2 linked regions of the Mytilus edulis genome follow. The protein of the gene in region 1 purifies or fractionates together with the protein of each later gene. This does not show direct contact. Links are inferred from orthologs where the notes say so. Each region holds a gene or a part of one and is shown on either strand. Other genes may lie near its edges.

Evidence for each region.
Region 2: the proteins of trithorax group protein osa-like (region 1) and protein SSXT-like purify together in Homo sapiens (affinity purification with mass spectrometry; 7 studies listed by BioGRID and IntAct, counting the BioPlex papers as one, with this or other methods). This does not show direct contact. The link is inferred for Mytilus edulis from reciprocal best matches to the Homo sapiens genes ARID1A and SS18.

What each region holds. Positions count from the first base shown.
Region 1 is NC_092353.1:43,285,218-43,292,460, reverse strand, and holds the start of trithorax group protein osa-like, read left to right. Parts: upstream 1-4,180; 5' UTR 4,181-4,530; coding exon 4,531-5,262; intron 5,263-7,243. UniProt on the Homo sapiens protein: Involved in transcriptional activation and repression of select genes by chromatin remodeling (alteration of DNA-nucleosome topology).
Region 2 is NC_092348.1:25,284,220-25,291,637, reverse strand, and holds the start of protein SSXT-like, read left to right. Parts: upstream 1-4,383; 5' UTR 4,384-4,642; coding exon 4,643-4,708; intron 4,709-7,418. UniProt on the Homo sapiens protein: Appears to function synergistically with RBM14 as a transcriptional coactivator. Isoform 1 and isoform 2 function in nuclear receptor coactivation. Isoform 1 and isoform 2 function in general transcriptional coactivation.

The DNA of each region.
Region 1 (7,243 bases):
AATTGGATAGTAACAGGTGGTTTCTGTTTACAGCTGCAGTTTCAGAAGTTGCTCTTTGACACATTACAGAGAGGCAGAGCCAGTCGATGATGGTGCGTTGTATATAGCTGTATTTGTAGGCATCTGTGGAGGTACTGATATGAGTGAATTGTTCTAGATGGTATTGTTTTATTGAGGTAGATGGTCTTGAGATCTAAAAAAAAAACATGTTTAACCCCGCCGCATTTTTTGCGCCTGTCCCAAGTCAGGAGCCTCTTGCCTTTGTTAGTCTTGTATGCTTATTAATTTTAGTTTCTTGTGTATAATTCGGAGTTGAGTATGACGTCCATTATCACTGAACTAGTATACATATTTTTTTAGGGGCCAGGTGAAGGACGCCTCCGAAGCGGGGGTTTCTCGCTGCATTGAAGACCCATCGCATGGTGGACGTCGGCTGTTGTCTGCTCTATGGTCGGGTTGTTGTCCCTTTGACACCTTCTTCATTTTCATTCTCAATTTTATTCTCGTGTATGTTGGTATGTTGACTGCCGCCTTTCCATGTGTGGCTTTGTAAAACATGCTCAATCTACTTGATTTCCGTCTAAATTATAGCGTTTGTCATTCTAGGGTTTTCAGGATGTTTGTAACTATCCCTGGTACTGTATGTTGATGTCGCAAATCTGGCAGTCGGTCATCTTTTTTTTCATATCAAGGGAGTCAATGTGATGTATTCCGCGATATGGATCCCATACTGCAGAGGCGTACTTAATTTAAGATGTGGGCGCACTAGCGATGTATATGCCTGCGCTTTGATATCTTGTAGACACTTCCAGATGTTTGTGTCTTAGGAATCCTAATACTCGGTTGGATTTTGTGATAACGTTCTTAATGTGTGAATCCCAACTGAGATCTTCTGATAATTCGACTCCGAGGTATGGATATTGGTGAACTGTGGATAGTTGTTGTCCCATCATTTCATACTCTTTTATCGTTTGGTTTTTTTTTCTTGTTACCCTCAGTGTGTAGCATTTTAATAGCTGGGTAGAATGTCATTTGCCACCGCTCCACCCGTTTAGTCAGTTCTGTCAGATCTTGTTGTAGTTGTAAGTTGTCCTCGATACCTTTAATGGATCTATATATTAGTAGTAGCAAGTCGTCAGCAAAGAGACGGAGGGTGAGGGAGGGTTGATGTAATGACATTGTTTCTGTCTTATCGTTGGTGTATATTAGGAAACAAAGTGGTTCCAATACCGGACCTGTAGAAATCCGGATCGTACTCGGATTTGTTCTCACTGGCTTCTCCATCTAGACATACTCTCTGGTGTCGCTGAGTTAGCCATGACGAAATCTATTGTAGAGTGTTATATATTATTCACTAGTGTGACATTTTTTTCAGAAGTCTTTGTTGGGGAATGTATCGAACGATTTTGAGAAATCAAGAATAAGCATGCTATTTGTCCTCGATGGTCCAGTTCTCTTACAACTGTTACTATGTGTTAATAAGTTGGGTTTAACATGATCGGTTATGTCTGAATCCGTGTTGGAAGTAGGATAAGATTTGATGTTCTTCAAGATGTTCCATGATGTGCATATAGATTATGTGTTCCATGAATTTACAACATATTGTGGTTAACGATACGGGACGGTAGTTTACTGCTTGACTTCTGTTCCCCTGTTTGTCAATGGCTGTGATGTTTGCCTGTCGACAATCTTTAGAAACTTTCCACTGTCATAGGACTGTTCATATAATTTTGTTTGGGGAACGGTTGTGTTTGTTTGTCGTCAATCTTCAGAAACATTTTCACTGTCATAGGACGGTTCATAGAATTTTGTGTGATGAACAGTTGTATTTGTTTGTCGCCAATCTCCAGAAACATTTCCCCTGTCATAGGACGGTTCATATACTTTTGTGTGAGGAACGGTTGCGTTTGTTTGTTTGTCGCAAATCTTCAGAAACATTTTCACTGTCATAAGACGGTTCATAGAATTTTGTGTGATGAACGGTGCAATTTCGCAGTGTGCTTCTGATTGGTAGTTCATCTAGACTGTTTGCTTTTGTTGGGTCTATTAGTCAAAGTTAAACTTTTTCTCAACTCTTTCCGATCTGATATGTTACTTCCTATTGTTTGGAGTTGTACTGGTTCCCATATGTGGTATATTTTTTGTATCCTCTGTCGTGAAGACACCATCATATTGAGTGTTCAATATTTCTGTTTTCCTTTGCTGTCATGATCTCCGAGGTTGTTCTGGAGGGATGATATTCCCATTGTGTCTTTTTGCTTGATTTTATATATTTCCAGAATTTCTTGCCAATGTTTGGTTAAGTGTTATCTTCGTCCTCTTGATTTAGGATTTATCGAACATAATTGTCGTGGGCCTCGTTCATCTCTTCTTGACAAAGTCTCTCATCTGTTTGTACTTGTGTCATTTTGTTTTCTTGGTGTTGTGTTTTAGCAGCACTGTATCTACGCTGTCTGCTTCGTGTCTGTCTTTTGATATGTGTAGAGATCTAAATCACATGTTGTTTTCTACCTATACCGAGTTATATGTGGGCCAAGGCCCATGATGAATTATTTATATATACAAATAGTTGCTTGTAACATGATCTCTTTGAAGTATGTCCAGTTTTCTTCTACAGTGTATTCTTCCATGCTGTTAATTCAGTTCCCAAAATTGTCTAGGAAGTTTTCTTTGGGTCCAATCATAGCGGTCTTTTTAAAAAGGTACACTGGGTTTCTTTTTGATGAAGTTTGGCTTTCATATCTTTGCTACTTCGATTTTACTAATAAGTCCTCAGTGGATTGGTTGTCATGAGTAGGTTTAGTGTGTTTTGTCCTTTAGTTGGTTTACTTACTATTTGGTTCATGTCGTAGTTATATGAGATTTAATTATGATTAGCTTCTTCATTCTGTGGGTTATTCGGGTTGTTTGCTAGTTGAGATGTGGCAGATTGAAATCTCCTCTAAGTATGACATTTTGTAGGGTTTAGGCTTGTGTCCACGAACCGATGCAGTAAATAGATTTCTCAAGTTCTTCAAGTTTTTCGATGACAACTTATATTTCAATGCAATGCCAAATTATGTTTTATAGCTGGACTAGTTCTTTCAATTGGAAGAAATTAATTTTAATATACTGATTCCTGTCCTATCAATTTTTTTCAGAAGGTTGGTCGAGTTTTAAAAAAAGTCTTTCAGTCTTTTTTTAAATTTCAAATTCACATGCAGGTTCCAGTATGCACTACAACTGCATTTACAAGCCAGTTACAATTTTACAAAATTTGTTTAAATTCTGAACATTAAACCACATATGTCTACATACGAGGTTTTTTTCTCGTTTGGCCAGAATACATATTTGAGTTAATTTACTTTTTTCATAAAAATATTTTTAAATACAACCAATATTTTTTGGCAGAAAATCTTAGCGTCATATGATTCTCATGTGGTAGATCACATATTTTTCCTAGAGTTATTTCCCGTGCAAAATAATTTTTGAGAATTTCAGAGGGTGGACGTTTTATAACGGGAACAGCCTGGTTAAATATTGCAAATAGGATTTTATCTCCTAAAATTGCACCAATTATTCTTTGTTCGAAAATTCTGACATTTTACTTTATCTTCGTTATTTTAACTTTAGTTTGAAATTTTCAAAGTCAATAAACTGCTACATGCGATCTATGCACCAATACTGTCAAGGAAAAAATGAAAACAGATACATTTGCATGCTCAATAATATCAGATTTTCCCGTCTGATTGACGTCAATAGAAAGCCTTCAGGCAATCAAATGCTCTTCTGTTCATCTCCCCAGAGTAAAGGTCAAATTTTTGTTTTCTACAATATATACGCCATAGAAACGCTTCGAATAAATCTTTAAAGATGTTATTTGAATTTTGAATTCGGATTTGAATTACATTTGATGCAAAATCAAGCCATTCCATTATGAAATTGTCACTTTTTTGAAACAATACGTGGGAGGTGAAACGATTAGCTAATTGAACAAGCCGTGTTGAAAAGAAATGCCTCGGACGCTTCACAACTCAATATTAGTATATCTGCGCTCAGTGGACAATTTACGCAAAAGAATTCCCGAATTTGATAGAAGTCATGCTCCGTGTTCAAATTGTATATTTTGACACAGGAAATGATTGTTATTGTTTTTAAAGTATACATAGCACCCATAACCAATATTTTCACGATCCCTATAGAGGCGTATGAATCGCTATTCTCTTCCGATATTCCCGCTTATTGAAGAGAACAACATAATACACTGTTTGATAAGACCATGCTGCCATCTGACTAAGATTTACCCTATTGCAATCTGCCTCAGTTCGATACATGCGTGTTTATTGACAATATTAGGACGCACCGCAATTCAAGAAAAGTATCCCGAAACATGTGAGTTGATTATTCATAGGTGTCACGGTCAATTTCTCGCTCTAGAAGGGTGGGTAAATAGAATTATGCTGAAGAAACTCTTCTGTGTATACAACAAAGACAGGAAACTGAAGCAACTGGAGTCGACCGGAGGGTCAGGAACTTTTCGGTAAGTGAAGTATGGAAAATGCTGGCCCTGGTAAAGGGCATACTAGACAAGTCAAGAGCAAAAAGCTTAAATCTCCGAAGAATTTACGGGGAAACACAATGGACTCGTTTCAAGATGGAGGCCAACAAAACATGAGCAATGAACAAGGCGAATATTTTAATCAAATTGAAGGGCCTAACATGAACGTTGATATGAATAACTATCCTCCATCATCTAGGGAACAGATGATGGGGGTTGACAACTACGGAAGAATGAACCCAATGATGCATCCAGGGCAAATGCAAGGGTACAATCCGTATAATCGTGAAAACTTTAACCCAGGCGATCAACATGGCGGAATGGCAGGAAGTTCAGAAATTATTAATCAAAATACTTTTCAGGCTCAGTATATGCAGCCTGGAATGAAGAGTGGACATCCAGGCAAACCGAACATGATGCCTATGAGGCCACAAATGGGCCCAGGTGGTCCAGGAATGCCACAATCCTATCCACAAGGACAAAGATCAATGTTGTCAGGACAAAGCATTTCACAGCAGTCTGGACCAACACCAACACTAAATCAGCTTCTGCAGACACCAAACACACCGGGGAGGATGCAGGGAAATAATTATGGTGAATATCACCAGAAAGTGGCACCCGAAATGACAGCGCAAGGGACACCATATAACATGCAGCAAGGTTGGACTGGAAATAGACAACCAGCCAGTTTTCCACAAGGTCCAGGGACTCCCTATAGGGGTCAGGTAAGTTGTATTTATCTACTTTCACTTTGACTAAAGGAAGTCATTAACTGCCATGTGACACTAATCTATTGATCATGTTTGTATTGCCCGCCAGAGTTGTAAATAATCTTATCAATCTAGTTTCATAATTACTTTTTCTTCCAAGCGGTTATTGATAAGCTATACTCAATTATAAAAAACATAAATAGAAAGAAATATTGCATTCATTATTACCAGGATTTATTGGTCATGCATTTTTATCACATGAATGAAAAATCAATTTTGAATTTGGAGGCAAGACTGTTGTGACCTTTGTCTGATTGGCTGGGAAGACCATAAAGCAATCAATTAATCTCAGTCCTGGGATAATCTATTTTCATTTGTGTAGATAATAAAAGCATAGATGTTGGAAATCCCCTAAATTGTTGAATGACATCCAAGAAAATGAAAGTAAATCTATTATTGACAGATGCTTTGAAATTGTTTACCTTTCTGTATGCATGAGTAATTTTATGGAATTTGATATTTCATGCATTAAAATATTATTGATTTTTATATAAGACTTTAACAAGATTCATAATTTTCTGAGACTTTGTTCTGGTAGTTTTGTTTTCCGATATTTTAAGAGTTTGTTGCTTGTGTTAAATTCATTTTTAATTAAAATAATCTTCTGTGCATCTTTTTGATTTGACTATTATGTAAATTTTATTTGTGTGAATACATGTATATATACTGCTCTGCTAAGATTTTTCAAATGGCAAATGATTTTCCCTCAATTGACAATTTTTTTGCTGGTAAATCTTGTGTAAAAGGATGATTGTTGAAGTTGTAAAACCCTTCACTTGATAACAATGTTTTATTATCACTGGGGTAAAGCTGATGACCGTAACTGCATTCACGGTCATCCCAAGATGTCGGATGAAAAATTAGGTCAGTATCTGTATTGTCTGTTACAGTGTTTCTATATCATTTTCTTTACAAAGGAGACATTGATTCGATGTAAATTTATAAAAGATTCACACGGAAATCACAAATTACTTCCGAGAAATGTGCATGAAACGGGAAATTCGATTTAAAAAAATCGCTAAGATGACCGTAAATCACAATCGAGATGACCGTAACAGAATCAGCAATTCAAAACAAGGGTGACCGTAATTGGTTAAAAGATGACCGTAATTTGTAAAGGATGACCGTAATTTCTAAATGATGACCGTAACTTTTAAAGGATGATCGTCAATTCTAAGAAATATCCGTATTTGTATGACTACTTTTTTTGTATCAAATGATTAATGGTGTTGATATAAATCATATTTATATGAGAGTATTATCCTATAGGTAGGAGAAAATAAGACGTGCTTTAAATACAGAGTTCACCATATATATCTTTTTTTACGGTAGAGGGTATAATTTTTAAAATGAACATACAACAAAACATGCACATGAAAAAGTGGGGAAAACATGCAACAAAAGCGCGATTAAATGACACCTAACAAGTATAATAAAAAAAAAAAAGTGTCCTGCACAGCCTCTAACTAAAAGCCAAAAGGTTTTTTTTTTATTTCTGGAATTCCTTGTAATGACATATAATAAATGCACTTTTTAAAAATGCCAATGGATGTAGACTACAGCCATTGATATTATATCGTCTTTGATTTGTCTTCTATTTTGTCTTGCAAGTAAAATAACAGAACCTGTTTTTAAAATACTACGACCAAACTAGTGAAGGCGAGCTCCAGCAAAGTAGATCCTTAAAATAGTCTTATGCGTATAGCGTATCACAAGGGGCTGGGGCGGTCGGATGTAGCCATTTAAAAAAAAGGGGGGTCCCAACCCAGGGTAAAGGGGGTTCAAACTATGTGTCCCCATTCAAATGCACTGATCGGTAAATAAAAAGGGACCCCCTTTTGGATCCTACACTGAGGGGAACCTTGTCAATTTGTATATACAGCAATGTTATTCATGTTATTCATATATATATTAAGACAAACTAAGATTTTAATCT
Region 2 (7,418 bases), on another chromosome or scaffold:
ATTTTTCTGCATAAAAATGTCCGAAACATTTTTCGCCTCGCTCCGCTCGCTGGTAGTTCCTTGCACATCGTGTCATTCTAGCTACGCCCCTGACGACATTCGAATTTTAATACAGCATCGGTGACCCATGCATGATTTTATTCGACACAGTATTAGAAAATAATGAAATTATATAAAACCTTTGATTGACAAAAAAGTCAGTAAATAATGGGGTTTCAATATTGGGTGGTCAGATAATCCGGTAAAGAACATAAACTGTTTAAATCTCTTTAAAAAATATATATCTCAGTGGTGCAAGGTATAGCATAGGACAATGTAAATCTACTGCAACAACTTAATTACCCCCCCCCCCCTTTTTCCAACACTTTTTTACCTAATGAATTTTAAGAATACCAATCCGTTTAAACTTGAATTCTTAATGGTCTATACATCTTGCAAACACGCATTGCTGTATTCGGCGGCTTTCCATTGGTACCACGATTTCCCGAGAAATACTGTTATCGAACTTTTACGTTACATATTTCTATCTGTAATAATTTTTTTTATTTCATTTTTTTTTTTTGATTGAAATCAAAGTTAACTTGAGACTCAGTCATGATTATTTATGTATTTTCACGGTAACTTCTTAGAATATACCGATTCTCAAGCTCTTTGGAATGCATTCTATCCAACATGAGTCCCCCCCCCCCTTTTTTTTTTTGGATTTGTAACGTTCATATCAATGTACCTAAAAATCCCCTGAAAAAACTTTTATAGCCTTTTTGTTAGTTTTCATTAATGTTGATGTACAGTACAAAACAATAGAAAGGCAAAGACACACACCTTTTGAACATCAGTGATGTTTATTTTTGGACTATATACGTTCGAGTTGTCCACTTATAGGGAACAAATTTTTGTTCCCGGTGTCCTTTTTTTCTTTCATTCTTTCTTTCTTTAGGTTTTCAGTAGTCCTTCAATGATCTGAAAATTATTTACTGTTTGCGCGCGCAGCGTGGCCTATATATATAAATACAAAGACAAATACAAAAAAAATATTTGGAAATAAATTTGAGGTGCGTAATTTAGTCCTGGAAAGAATAATATTTTTTTAGCATTCGGGGATATTAACTTCTTCTTCTTCTTCTTGTCTCCGTATAAGCATCCTTTATAAGGATCACCACCATGAGTTATGGCGTATAAAGAAAGCATTTGGAGCCTGTATCGGTACAGATTAATATGAGCATTTGCCTACCCAATTCCCCAGCCAGGCCGTGACGGGTCTTATTACCAGAAAGTTAACCTTCCCTAAACATAATACAATATAACAAAATAAAACATACCAACTCACACACTCACCTGGTTCGCTCAGTCCTCAAAGTATAAAAAGTGTATTTTTTTTCTATGTATCAAATATCCTTTTTTAAATATCTGTGTGTTTTATAACACCCCTCCCATTGGCGGATCCATGGGGATTCTCTAGAAACACTAGAACACACCCGTGATATCGCGGGTCCGTGACTCAATTAAAGTATATAACTATGCGCAAGCCTTATTTTAATATTAGTATTGTCATCTGATAATGTCATGCCGATTATAAGATACGCAGTTTTCTCTGCTTTCAAATCTTTCTGTTTGAATCCGTCGAACTCGAACTTATCAATTATTGGTAGTATTAATTAGTTGGAAAACAAAAGGTCCTGGAATGGAATATTTTTAAATCAACAGCATTGTCCTATATTAGTTATAAAGTTGAATTCTTTGATTCGCTGTTTTACGTCATGCCCGCTAACAAATTGAAAACTGCCGTACCTATACGCCTTATTTTAGTCCAGATTTTTAGTATTTGTATTGTTATCTTAGAAAGTTTTACTGATTAAAATGCTACAATAGGTAACAATTTGACAATCTAGTAGTGTCAACCCTGTGAATATGACCCGTGTATATAGCATATTAATCCTGAATACACCGTTTGGTGGTGCGCCTGTCAGATGCGGAACGTACAAATAAGGTAATAGGTAACAGGTGAATATACTATTGGTATCGGTATCGGACTCAACCCGGAACTTCTTAATTATTGGCAATATTTAATTACGTGGAAAACAAAAGGGCCTGGAGTGATGTAATTTTTAAGGCGTACCCACATCTGGTTTTATAATAAAATGCCGTCGGATCGGGAATGAAACGTGAAATATATACGGAATTTGTTGCAATTAGTGAATAAATTGATTAAAACTACTCAGAATTTTCATAAATATACACATATATATTTCATACAATTGTATATAAGAATTTATAGAAGCCGCAGAGAAAAGAAAGAAGAACCCGGAGCACAAAATTTAAAGATTTAAAGTACAACAGAATAAATTTTTCCTGCATTCATGGTGGGAAGCAATTCCAAACAAATTCGACAAGAAAAAAGGCCTAATACAAGGTATTTGTTGTTTTAAATTGTAGTTTTTAATCGAATTTGCCACGCCTTTCATTTAAGTTTTTTTATAATGTCGATTACTTATAGTTTTTGTATTGTAAATCGTTCGTGATATTAAGGATATGTCTAATTTCGGTACTTTCCAAATGGAATGTCCTCAGTTCCACATTAAACTTGGCGTAACTAAAGATGGACAAAACCTTAATTAGTTACATGAATCTTTTATAATTGGTTTAAATTGATATCATTACTTGCTTCTTTAATTTTTATAAACTCAAGCTTAAATTTTAGAATTTTTATATATTTTAAAATTTCAGTTTCTGTTTTACATTTTACTAAAAGATTATCTTAAAATATCATATGGGTATTTTTTTAAATTATTAAAATTTTATTCTTAAAATTTTCATTTAAATTTTATAATAGTATTAATTTCTATCATGTTTTCTTTTACAGGGAATGTACAGTTTCATTTTCCATCATTGTGCATTTAATTTTTGCAATGTTTATTATGTATCATTATTTAATAAATACAATTTGAAAATATTATTTTTCATACTCTTCACTCGTTCTACACGAAATCCCTATATTATCGATAATTTCCGTATATATTTCACGTTTCATTCCCGATCCGATGAATTAGTCACCAACTATGTACTTGGTAAAGTAGATGAAGAACTCAACAAACTTCTCAACAACCGCTGTAATAGATCCTCGAATTCTGAACAGTTTGATCCAAGTCAACAATCGTTTCATCAGCAAAAATCATTTATGCAACCACATCAATACTCTCCAAATCAGCATTCAAATCAACCATACGTTACAACTCAACGACCAAATCATCAATTTTCATCTTATGACCAACCTGTTTTTCACAATACATCTCATGTGCTACCAAGTCATCAATACTCAAATGCTTACTACCAATATGATTACATTCAAAACAGGGAACAAGATATAGAAATTAATCACTCAGTTAACTTTCACCCTGACCTCAACGATGATAGAAACATATGTAAAGAAAACTTAATTGAAATACTTCCAACTGAACAAAAGAAAGTTAACAACACCAAACTTTCACACTCAAATGAATCATACAGGAATGATAAAGAAGTGGTTAACAATCAACAGAGTATAGGAAAAAGTGATCCCAACTGGTTCCACATCTCCCTCGAAGGTGAACCCATAAGCTATGAAATAAACAATAGTGACATGCATTTTTTATACCAACACAGCCTCGTCCGTCCAAAAATATAACAATAAAACCTAGACCCATAGGAGAGAAGGCTAAAAACTGTAAATATGTATTAAAGATTATAAATTTTAACTGTAAAAACATTTTAACCTGTGGTCCACTATTTGATGAATTAAAAGACTCTATTGACATTTATCTACTTCAAGAACACTGGCTCTTCCACTGTCAGTTAAAGATGTTGAATGACATTCTGCTAGATTATAAGGGTGTTGGTAAAGCAGTAGACTCCAGTGACCCAATTACTCCATGGAGAATGCCAAGAGGCTATGGTGGGACGGCTATACTTTGGAAGAAAAATCTTGACTCCATAGTCACTCCACTGTCAATATAGGGAATAATCGAATACAATGCAGTGAGATCAAAGGTGACCCAAATTTAATAGTCATTTCTGTATATTTACCTTGTAAAGGTTCAACAAATAGTCAAACAGAATTTCAAGAATGTATAGATCTATTGAATGAAATATTGACAACCTATGAACTAACACACCAAATAATAATAGGTGGTGACTTTAATGAGGAAATCTTTGGATCCAATGATTCGATAAGACAGAAATATATAGTGTCATTTATAGACGAACACTGTCTAAGTACAAAAGATATTGGAAAAACATTCATTAGCGCTAATGGGAGTGATTGTACTGCAATTGACTATATACTCTTTCAAGAAACTTTTAAGGAATCAATATTAAGAAATGTGAATTTACTGGGAATGTTTCTGACCATTAATCTACACCTTTGTACTATATAAGTTATATAAAGTTGAATTCTTTGATTCGTCGTTTTTACGTGATGACGGCTGACAAATTGGACCTCGTAATTTTAGTATTATAGATTTACGGAATTTCTTTTCGAAATAATCCCGTCTTGGCTTCCTAAAATTACTTTTAGATTTCTATTTACTGCGGACCAGTTTGACGCGGTTAAAAATTTTAAGGAAAAAATTGACAAAGCTCCCTGACCTCTCTTTTTGGTATAATTATCATGTCACTAGCATTTGTTCAACCGCAGCAGAAGAAAGGTCAACCCAATCAAGCACAAATTCAAAAGGTAAGCCGTGACAGTCTTGAAAACAAAAAACTGTCAGAAAAAAAAATCTTCCATTGTTTCACGTAACCTTCTTCTTCTTCCGAATACGGGAGTAGACTCCTAGGTAGGAGTGTAAAACTTCCCGGAACTTGTGTGCTATGTACATATGGACTTAATTTAAAAATAATATGACAAGAAAAATCGTTATCAATAACATATATACATTATGTACAGTGGCTTTAAAGTTTAATAAGTTGCTGTGGATCCTTCAAATGTTAGAGTGGATATGCCACTTTTGAAGGATTCCAGGGTGTCTGACATACCTATTGCTTCAGGTAGTGAGTTCAGAGACATATAATACAAGAGATTGGCAACTCGGCGAAATCGCGTAATATCACACGGCCACATTTAAACCTCGCGAGATCTCTTTGGGTAATAGAGTTATTATCAAAGTATTAAAAGTACTCGAGGTAATGGTGAATGTTTAAGCATAAATTAACTGTTTCAGTGTTAAATTTAACATAATTAATTAAATAATTTGAGTTCATACATTCATAATTATTTATTTCAATGTCCTTTTAATTTTTATTTGTATTATTGAAAAAGAGACATAATTTGATATTGAAGTAAAAAAAAAAAACAATATTAAATAATTAACACTTAATAAATTGTATCAGAGTTCATTTTATTTGATACTTTCACAATGGGTTTCTATTAAATATACACCTGTCTCGGAGACATAATTTCACAGTGTAACATGTATATTAGGCTTGAATTATTCAGGTAAATCACAACCTGTTAAAACTGAAGAGTTTTATTTGACACCTGGTACACAAGAAGTTGTTACACCACAGGTGTCCACACTATTTCCGAAAATACTATTTACAAAATATATTAAATTAATTAATGTGTAGAAAAAAATAATTTGTTTGTTTATCGTTAATCATGATCGACTTCGTCTTATATTAATAATTTGTATAGATCATTAAAAATTGAATACTTATTGTGTTCATTATTAATTGGGCTTGTATTAAGTTTTTTTCTATGATTGTCGGTAAATTGTTTTCTAAGTGTGTTTTTTTTCAAAATTTACATTATGAGCTTGCATTGAGTTTTTTTTATGATTTTTATTTATGGTTTCTCCTTTTCACGGATTGTGTATTAAGGACTTACATTTAATGATCATTTAATAGAAAATGGCAATATAAGTCTCACTTTTGACCTCGAATAGAAAGAGATTAAACCATATTTTAAGTGTAAGGAACTGATAAATATACGATAAAGACTCAGAGCAGCAGGTATTGCTGCCTTTTCATGAACAATTTTTGTAAGACGAAACATTTTACTATGTTATACTTCTGTCAGCTTGGTAAGTTGACTTCAAAGCATACACCAGTTTTAATGCCACATTGATATCTAAACGTTTCGAAATGTACACGTTTCCCTTCTTTTTAACTTTTGGACTAGTTAAAATCTCCTTTTAGTTTTGAAATGGACATGCACATGTGTAAATAGTTTTACAACTATTTGACTTGATTTGTAAGTCAAAACCTTTTTGTTTTACTTTATACAAACTGCACGAAAAAGCGCCTACCTTTGTTGTTGATCAGGCTGATTTAATTGATGGTTGCCTAACGTCCAGTGGAAAATAGTTCATGGGATATTTTTAATATATTGATGTGCGAGTGTATGACATTTCTTTTCTGTACAATATATATGCAATATAATATTGAACTCTCCACAAGAAACCAAATGATACAGACATTAACAACTGTAGGTAACCATAAGGCTCTTAGCAATGAGTAAAATTCATACTGCACTGCGAACTATACAAGGTCTATTTACATGTATGAAAAAGGTTTAATAATTCAAACAAGAAAACTAACCGCCCGATTTATGTACAAAAAAAATCCAAATATGATATACAGCAACAAACCACAAGTGAATTACAGGCTTCTTACTTTGGAAAGACACAAAGATAATAAAGGCATGATAATATATTTCACCATTATCACAATTTAAGCCGTACAATTTTATGTTTTTGTTTGTTTTTTGTTTGTTATGTTTTTCCCCCCACAGTAAGCATCTATAAATCATATAAACCAATTAATTTGGTGTGGCTTTTGGATAAACCAAATTACATCATTCTGTAAAAAAACACTGTCATACATCCCATTATTCTGAAATGAAAAGGACCAGTCAGACTGAGAATCAGAACAAGTATTTATGTATACAATATATCTAGACTATCACTACACATCATTCCATCCTTTTTCAATAATTAAACTAAGATATAAGAGAACAAAACTCATTCCAGGTATAAATAATATTTTTATTATCAAACATTCACTTATAATGTTACTGTCAATGATAACTGAGAGCTTCGTGCTAATTTACCTGCAACTGATCTGGTACAGTTCAACTGTATGCAAATTTCGGTACATTTTGTATCTGTACAGCTAAGGATATATGTACATGTATCATTGATGCTAACTTGTAATAAATTGCATAAAGTCTGAAAGGGAGAATGGGAGAAAGGCAAGGTTCTTCATGTTCATTGTGTGTCTCATTCACTGCAAATATCTCAATTACAAATGTATTGTGTAATCAGTTGCTCTGTGCCTTCCAGTGGTGCAAGAAAAAAATCAGCATGGCAATCAAATTCAAGCGTACATATTTTTTCATTCTCAAATGGCTGTTCTTTTGCTGCATAAGTGTGGTCTGAATGTTC